Linked DNA regions of Danio rerio. Each later gene encodes a partner of the first gene's protein in a complex. Links are inferred from orthologs where the notes say so. Each region holds a gene or a part of one and is shown on either strand. Other genes may lie near its edges.

Region 1 (3,831 bases):
ATTCTAAATTATCCTCCTGTGGTTTTGGTTTTCTTCTTCAAATGTTTCCCAAACTATGTTTAACAGAGCAAGAAATTTTTTTACAGTATTTCCTATAATATTTTTTCTTCTTGAGAAAATCTTCGTTTTATTTTGGCAAGAAAAAAAAAGCTTTAAACCATTAAAGGTCAATATTATTAGCCCCCTTAAAAATTATATGAAGAGTTTGGTTGCGATAAAAGCTATTTTTTGACATTTGTATTTTATAATTGAAAAACATTGTTCAGATGTACCTTAATCTATGTGTGAATTGCTGCCATTCATAAGATTTAAGAATGTACATTTTTGTTTATACTGTAGGCAAGCTGATAGTCACGTAGGCTACGTCACTGATCAACAGCTGTCTGTCAGTCAGAGAATCAAAGCTTCAGAGTCAAGCTAATGTCATGGATTTCGATGAAGGATTGGATCGGTCATTCCAGCTGCTGTTAAGGAAGGCATCTAAAGAAAATCATCAAAGGGAGAAGAACAAACGAGCAAGGCATTCAGGGGTTGGAAAACATCCGAAGATTAACTGTGGTCATCGTGCGAGTCATATTGGTCGGTGTCATGCCGGCAAACTGTCAGATGAAGATGAAGCCTTCAACTTCACAAAAATGTAAAAAAAAATAAACAAATAAATAGTGGACCAGGACAAAATACTCCTGCTTCTGTCAACAGTACACAAATGCAGCAGGGAACGAATTTCCGCTGATGTCAAGAGGAAGACCAGGGAGCGCCTTTTTTCTTGCGCTCCTCCCCATCAAAAGATACCTGTCTGCAAGGCGACATTTCTAAGTGTCCTTTGTAAGTTTATTTTTAAAATAATTTCTTACAAGTAGCTGAGTAGCCTATCTGAAGATTTATTTATGCGATTGCACCTATTCATAGCCTAAAACCTTACATTAATTCTTGTTGTTGATTTATTATAAGGGATCATAGAGGGCACAGTTTGCTATGGAATAATAAACAGTTTTGTTTTTAAACAACAACCAATAAACTCTATAAGCCATTTTATTACTATTATTATTATTATTATAGTGAAATGACTCAATAAATATGACAGGGCGAGGTGAGCTTGTGTTGCAGACTCGGTGCAAAAGAGACAAGAACTATGACACTGTGCCTCTGCCTGATCTGATCATATAGGTTTGATTTTCAGCAGTGATGTGGAAGGAGCCGCCCTCCACTCTTCCTTCACAAGTAACAAGTTGTTTATCGAACTAACTTAATCTTACTTATAAAACAAAACTGATGTACTAGCTTTTCTTAATGGCATTATTGTAGTAGAATATAGCCTAAGGTGGATTTATAGCGTTTGGCTAAAAATAAATTAAAAATAAAAATAAAAAGGTATGTTGTGTTGTGTACGTTCTGGCCAAAAATAACTTAGAATCTTAATATTATTAATCAAACTTTGTATATACTGTTATACTGTTCCATATGATTTATGATGTATTGCTTTTTTAATGTTTGACAATGTTAAGATAAACAAAACGAAATTCTTCATATATATATATATATACCATCATTATACAATAATTTGCCTAACGTATAGTTAAGCCTTTAAATGTCACCTTAGGCTAAATACCAATATCTTGAAAATATCTAGTAAAATATTACCTACTGTCACCATGGTGAAGACAAAAGTAATCAGTTATTAGAAATTAGTTATTGAATTAATATGTTTAGAAATGTGAAAAATATATATTCGTTAAACAGAAATTAGGGAAACAATACACTTCTGAACAAAATCTTAAGACCGGGAAAAAAATTTCAAGTATTCACATTTTGCACTGGTGTATCGTAATCAGGTTGTAAGTACTGCTTTGAAATGCCAAATGAAGACACAGATACGTCACATAAAAAACAGAGAGTAGGTAATTAAATGAAAACTGCATTTAAACTCAAACAGGCTCGAATCAGCTGATAGGACCAGAGCCTTAAAAAGTTCTACTCTGTGCAAAACTGGCTTTTCCTTCGGCCTGTAACATTTTCAAGATCTCTAGATGGCAAAAGCAAAAAGACTTTTTCCTTTTGAACGTGGCAGGATTGTTGAGCTGCACAAGCAAGGGCTCTCATTGCGCGTCATTGCTGCTGAAGTTGGACACAGTAAGACAGTCATTTTAAATTTCTTAAAAGATCCTGAGCGTTATGGGACAAAAAAGTCAAGTGGTAGACCCAAAAAAACCGAGCCCGCACTGAGCCGGAGGATAAGGCAGGCTGTCCGAGAAGACACAGGCAGATCTTCAACCCAAATTAAGGCCCTTACTGATGCTGACTGCAGCCTAATACCATAAGATGACATCTTCGAGAGAAGGGCTTAAAGAACAAAAAAAACGTCCTCAAAGGCCACGTCTTCTCCCACACCACAAACTTGCCTGTTTGGAATAAGAAAGAGAGCACCAAACATGGGGCATTGAAAAGTGGAAAAAAGTTTAGTTCTCTGACGAAAACAAATATAACCTAGATGGTCCTGATGGCTTCCAACACTACTGGCACGACAAGGAGATTCCACAGGAGATTTCTTCACGGTACAGTGGTAGAGGCTCCATAATGATCTGGGGTGCTTTTTCCTTTAATGGTAAAACTGAGCTTCAGATTGTGCAGGGGCGGGAACTGCTGCTGGTTAAGTAGACATATTGCAGCAGGCATCCCTCTTGACTGAAGGCCCTCATCTGTGCAGCAATGACTTGATCTTTTAACAAGACAATGCTGCAATTCACAACACCCACCTGACAAAACGCTTCTTCAATAAGAATAACATTGCTCTTTTGGACCATCCTGCATGCTCCTCTGATTTAAATCCCATTAAGAACATTTGGGGATGGATGGCAAAGAAAGTTTACAAAAACAGTAATTTTTTATTTTTTTTTTAAACGCTACATCCAGACAGTTGGTGACCTTCCAAAAGCCATCTTAACCACATGGAGCAATGTTACCTCCAGCCTCCTGGAAACACTTGTATCAAGCATACCGAAAAAATAGTTTGAAGTGATCAACAAGAATGGAGGAACTAGTCACTACTGAGTCACTTTTGACAATTTGAGATCCATTGTCATGTTTTTTGGCCTCTGGTCCTATTCTTTTGATCCGCTGATTTCAGCCTATTTGAGTTTAAATGCCTTTTTTAAATAAATTGCTTATTGTCAGTTTTTTTGGCTTTTGCACCTGTGTCTTCTTTGGGTATTTCAAAGCAGTACTTCAAATACTACAAATCAGATTATGATCTTCCCTTCCAAAATGTGTATAACTGTAATGTTTCCCCCGGCGGTCTTAAGATTTTGTTCTGGAGTGTAAACAGGGGGGTTAATAAATTAGGAGGGCTAATAATTGTGACCTCAACTGTATATTTCAAATCAAAAGCACACATTAATCTAGCAGCTAGAAACCTGCAATGACTCTTTCCACAGCATATTCAAAGCTGAAGGTGTCGATGGACTTGAAGCCCTCTCTGGCAGCATGAAGGGCAGCTTCATTACAGATGTTGGCAATGTCAGCACCTGGAAAAAACACAACGATGTACAAATAGTATTGTGGCAGCCAGAACATGGTATTAATGGATTACAGGATTACGTCAAACTCTCACTTACCACTGAAGCCTGGTGTCAACTCAGCCAGGCGCAGAGAATAAAAGTCTGCTGGTTGTGTGAGCTTTAGGATTTTCAGGTGCTGCTCAAAGATTTCCTTTCTCTCCTATAACACAAGACATGCATATTTGATAGCAAGTAGCCTGATTAAAGAGAGTCAATAGACTCTGTAATATACAGCTAATACACGTGTAGAATGACCATTACGCTTTGAGTGTGTGTT
Region 2 (3,831 bases), on another chromosome or scaffold:
ATATATGCAATATACGTGCTGCAGACGGGTGATTAAATCACTTTTTTTCATGCAATGGTTGTTTATTTGAATTTGACCAATCAAATGAAGTCTTATGCTGTGTTCACACCAGACGCGGAATCTGGATCACGGAGGCTTTCAGCGATGCTTCTGACTGAGCCAAGCCCAGTTTGTTGACTTGTTGTCGGTGTCGCCTGGAGGATTTCCCCCGGAACACCATCAACTGGTTCAACGTCACAATCACGCCCCCACAAGAGCAAGCTTCTGATTGGTTAACGCGGCGCGAATGTCCGCTAAAGTTCAGATTTCGAATTCGAGAGATTGGCGCGAAACGCTCGTTAAGCGCGTCAAACGCGCAAACGCTCAATTCGCCTCGCGCGTATCGCGCCATTCCCGCCGCGCCATTCGTGCCTATCGCGCCGCAGGATGTCTATTCGCGCGTTTGCATTGACTTAACATGTAAATCACTCGCGCTTGACGCAAGTTCCGCGTCTGGTGTGTACGTAGCATTAGCCCTGCCTCCACAGTAGGCGGGGCTAAGACTCCACACTGCCACTGGCCGAAAGCTGAAAATAAACCTCTGTGGGCGGAGTCAAGGAGAAGGGGCAAAATAACAACCACTCAGAGTCAGAATATCTGGTCTTCCTCTTTCAGATCTTAAATTAGAAATAATTCAATCTGAAAAATAACTATTTATTCGATTCATTTTAACATCCTTATATAAGTGAATTTGATTTAAAAACATTACTTATAACATCTCCTTTGATTAATGCTATTTTTATATGGTAAGAAACATTGTCCCACTCTATACAACATTGCATATTTCACCGTTATGGCCCGTCCCTCATACGTACACATTGGTGTGGAGCTGGAACTCGTCGGTCTTGTATCCCACAGCGAAGTTGCTCTGTGTGATGCGGTTCCTGCCGGCCTCGAAGGTCATCTGGTACCCGGCGAGCCATCCGTCCAGGCCCAGCACCAGCGCTCCGTGCACCGCCGTCCCGTTGATGTCGTAGTCCACGTCACAGCCCAGGTTAATGTGCTCGCGCTGGTAACTGCTCTTGATCTTACCACTCTTCTTACTGCGGGACACCAGCATGAGCGTCAGAGGACATGCATGCTCAATATTAACACATTAAGTGAATTTAATAAATACAGTTGAAGACTGCTGAATTAATCATTCATTGTTCTGTGAAATTAATTAATTAGTTATAAATAAATAAATGCATAAATTCGTACCCAGTGTTTGGAGAAAAGGAGGAGTCGAATGTAAGCTTCAGCCCTTTGGTCAGCTGAGAGATAAAGCAGATAACGGTGAGTGTCAGGAGTGTCTGCTGTGTACTGGAGCTGCACTATACATCAGTTCAGCATCAGCATCGCAATGTGTAGACATCTGACCCTACGCAAACTTATTTCTGGGAAGACAAACGACCCCAAATACACCAGTAATTGAGCAGCATCTTGGTTCCAGACTAACAAGATTAACATAATGGAATGGCCAGTCCAGTGTCCAGACCTTAACCCAATAGAAAACGTGTAACCTGACATCAAAAATGCGGTTTCTGAAGCAAAATCAAGAAATGCAGAGGAATTATGGTCTAGATCAGGGGTCAACAATCTCGTTTATGGAGGTCCGGTGTCCCTGCAGGGTTTAGCTCCAACTTGCCTCAACACACCTGCCTGAGTGTTTAAAGTCTACCTAGTAAGAGCTTGATCAGCTTGTTCAGGTGTGTTTGATTAGAGTTGGAGCTAAAATCAGCAGGACACCGGCCCTCCAGGAACAAGTTTGGTGATCCTTGGTCTAGTACAATCATCCTGAGCTGGTAGACCTGTTAGAAGGTGTCAGAAATGGGCAGTTCTCTGAACCCATGGTTATACAACTAAATATCAGTTCAGTGATTTACTAGGAAGCTAAATCTTCTATCATTTCGCAGTTAATATAGTACATTTTGTCACTTTCTGTAAAGTAATAATACATTTAACCATTATTTTCCCAGTGTTCCCAATGCGTTTGTCTGTATTGCTATTACTTTGAACAATTGTATGTATAGTAAATAAAACAAAATGATTAAAAAATAAAATTAAAATGAATCAAAATTAAAACAAAAGTAAATAAAAATGAAAATAAAATAAAAATGAATAAATGAAAATTAAAATACAATTTTTAAAAAGTGAAATTAAATAAATATTTTTTTAAATAAATAGAAATAAAAATAAAAACAATAATAATTAAATACAATAAATAATTTGCAGAAAAACTAGATATCGAAGAGTCATGTTTTTCCATCATTGTGCAGCCCTGGTGTGTTTGGGTGCTCTCGGTCTGACCTGGTCCTCCAGGGTGATCTCTGTGCCCAGAGTGTTGTCCGTGTTCCACTTCTCAGTGAAGGTCAGGCCGTGTTCAGCCCACTTGTACTTGGTCTCCAGAGTTCCTGCTACTTTACTGGTCTCTGTGTTGGCCGAGCCGGAGCTCTTGAACTCCTGCAGTAAAATAAAGGAGCAGATGATCTCAATCAGAAACATGAGTGCAACACACACACACACACACACACACACACACACGCTATACTATATATATACACTTTCTGCTGCAATAAATAGGATTGACCCCAGTGGTTGAGTTGGGCATTGCAGTCCAAATTCAAAATATTGGAAAGGGTTTTTTCCCACCAGGGGTCTGTTCTTCGTACCTCGCTTAAATGATCTAAGATGATTTGGCAGATCCTGGATCCTTTAATCTTGATAACTGATCTCCGGCTAATTTGGTTCTTCAAAAAAGTTCGCAAATCAGATTAGAATGTCTGGATAAACTGATCTGAGATCGCTGTGTGTGTTGTGAAGGACAGATCTATCAATCCTCGAAATCATGATCAGCAATGCAGCGATTGGCTGACGGCACAGCAGCGTAATGACATCATCTGATTAATATTCAATTATCCATGCAAGCAAAATTACATCAAATTAGCAGTAAACCGTTTGTTATACATGACACGCAATAACCTTCCACATTTGTTGTGAGCTGCAGGCTTTACACTTTCATGTGTCAAGAGTATTCATCATGTATTTCAATTTTATTATAGTAGCCGTTTTTTAATCGGTGTAAAGAAAAACCGTTTTCATATTGGTAAAGGCGTCTGCAACTTTAGTGAAGCATCAAATCACTGGCATATTACTGTCAAAACATGTTTATGACTGCATAAATGTATTATTGGTTTTAAAAAAAAGTCACATATTCTGCATTTCTAATATACACAATTTGTACTAAAGCGATCTAAAAAGTTCATATCAATAAGTTTTCTCTTTGCACCACCAGGTGGCAGTCTTTATACTTTCATTTCGAGGGTGCAGATTGAAGTTTTATTAATATGTATAACTTTATTTTATTAATGACTATAACTTTATATATATATAGTTAAAAATATATGTACAATTTTCCCAAGTGTATATCACTACTACTGTAAGAAAATATCAGAATTCGGAACATACTTTCTGTATTATCTTTGCTTGAACTGAGCCGATCTAATCCTGTTTATATGAATTGAACCTGCTCCCGATCAGGTTTGACCTAGCAGAACTGTTGCTATGACAACAACTCTCGGATCAGCTTTGAAGAACGAAACGATCCTGGATCATGTCAAATCGTCAATATCCAAATCCAGCTAACTGAGTAATCCACATACGAAGAACGGACCCCAGGATTGATTTTCAGATGAACAAGTGTGTTTATTTAGCATGCTTCATAATATAAAACACCACAATATGTTAGCAGACAAACAATGTACATATAGCAGATTTCACTTCACACCAAGCATGAAAGAGTTTAAAAGACAT

What was found.
Region 2: spg7 (region 1) and vdac1 share a complex: the UniProt entries of both Homo sapiens proteins name them as parts of the mitochondrial permeability transition pore complex. The link is inferred for Danio rerio from reciprocal best matches to the Homo sapiens genes SPG7 and VDAC1.

Annotation. Positions count from the first base shown.
Region 1 is NC_133182.1:57,156,119-57,159,949, forward strand, and holds part of spg7 (mitochondrial inner membrane m-AAA protease component paraplegin), read right to left. Parts: intron 3,715-3,831; coding exon 3,612-3,714; intron 3,522-3,611; coding exon 3,411-3,521; intron 1-3,410. UniProt on the Homo sapiens protein: Catalytic component of the m-AAA protease, a protease that plays a key role in proteostasis of inner mitochondrial membrane proteins, and which is essential for axonal and neuron development.
Region 2 is NC_133196.1:49,357,840-49,361,670, forward strand, and holds part of vdac1 (non-selective voltage-gated ion channel VDAC1), read right to left. Parts: intron 2,482-3,831; coding exon 2,329-2,481; intron 1,293-2,328; coding exon 1,240-1,292; intron 1,083-1,239; coding exon 855-1,082; intron 1-854. UniProt on the Homo sapiens protein: Non-selective voltage-gated ion channel that mediates the transport of anions and cations through the mitochondrion outer membrane and plasma membrane.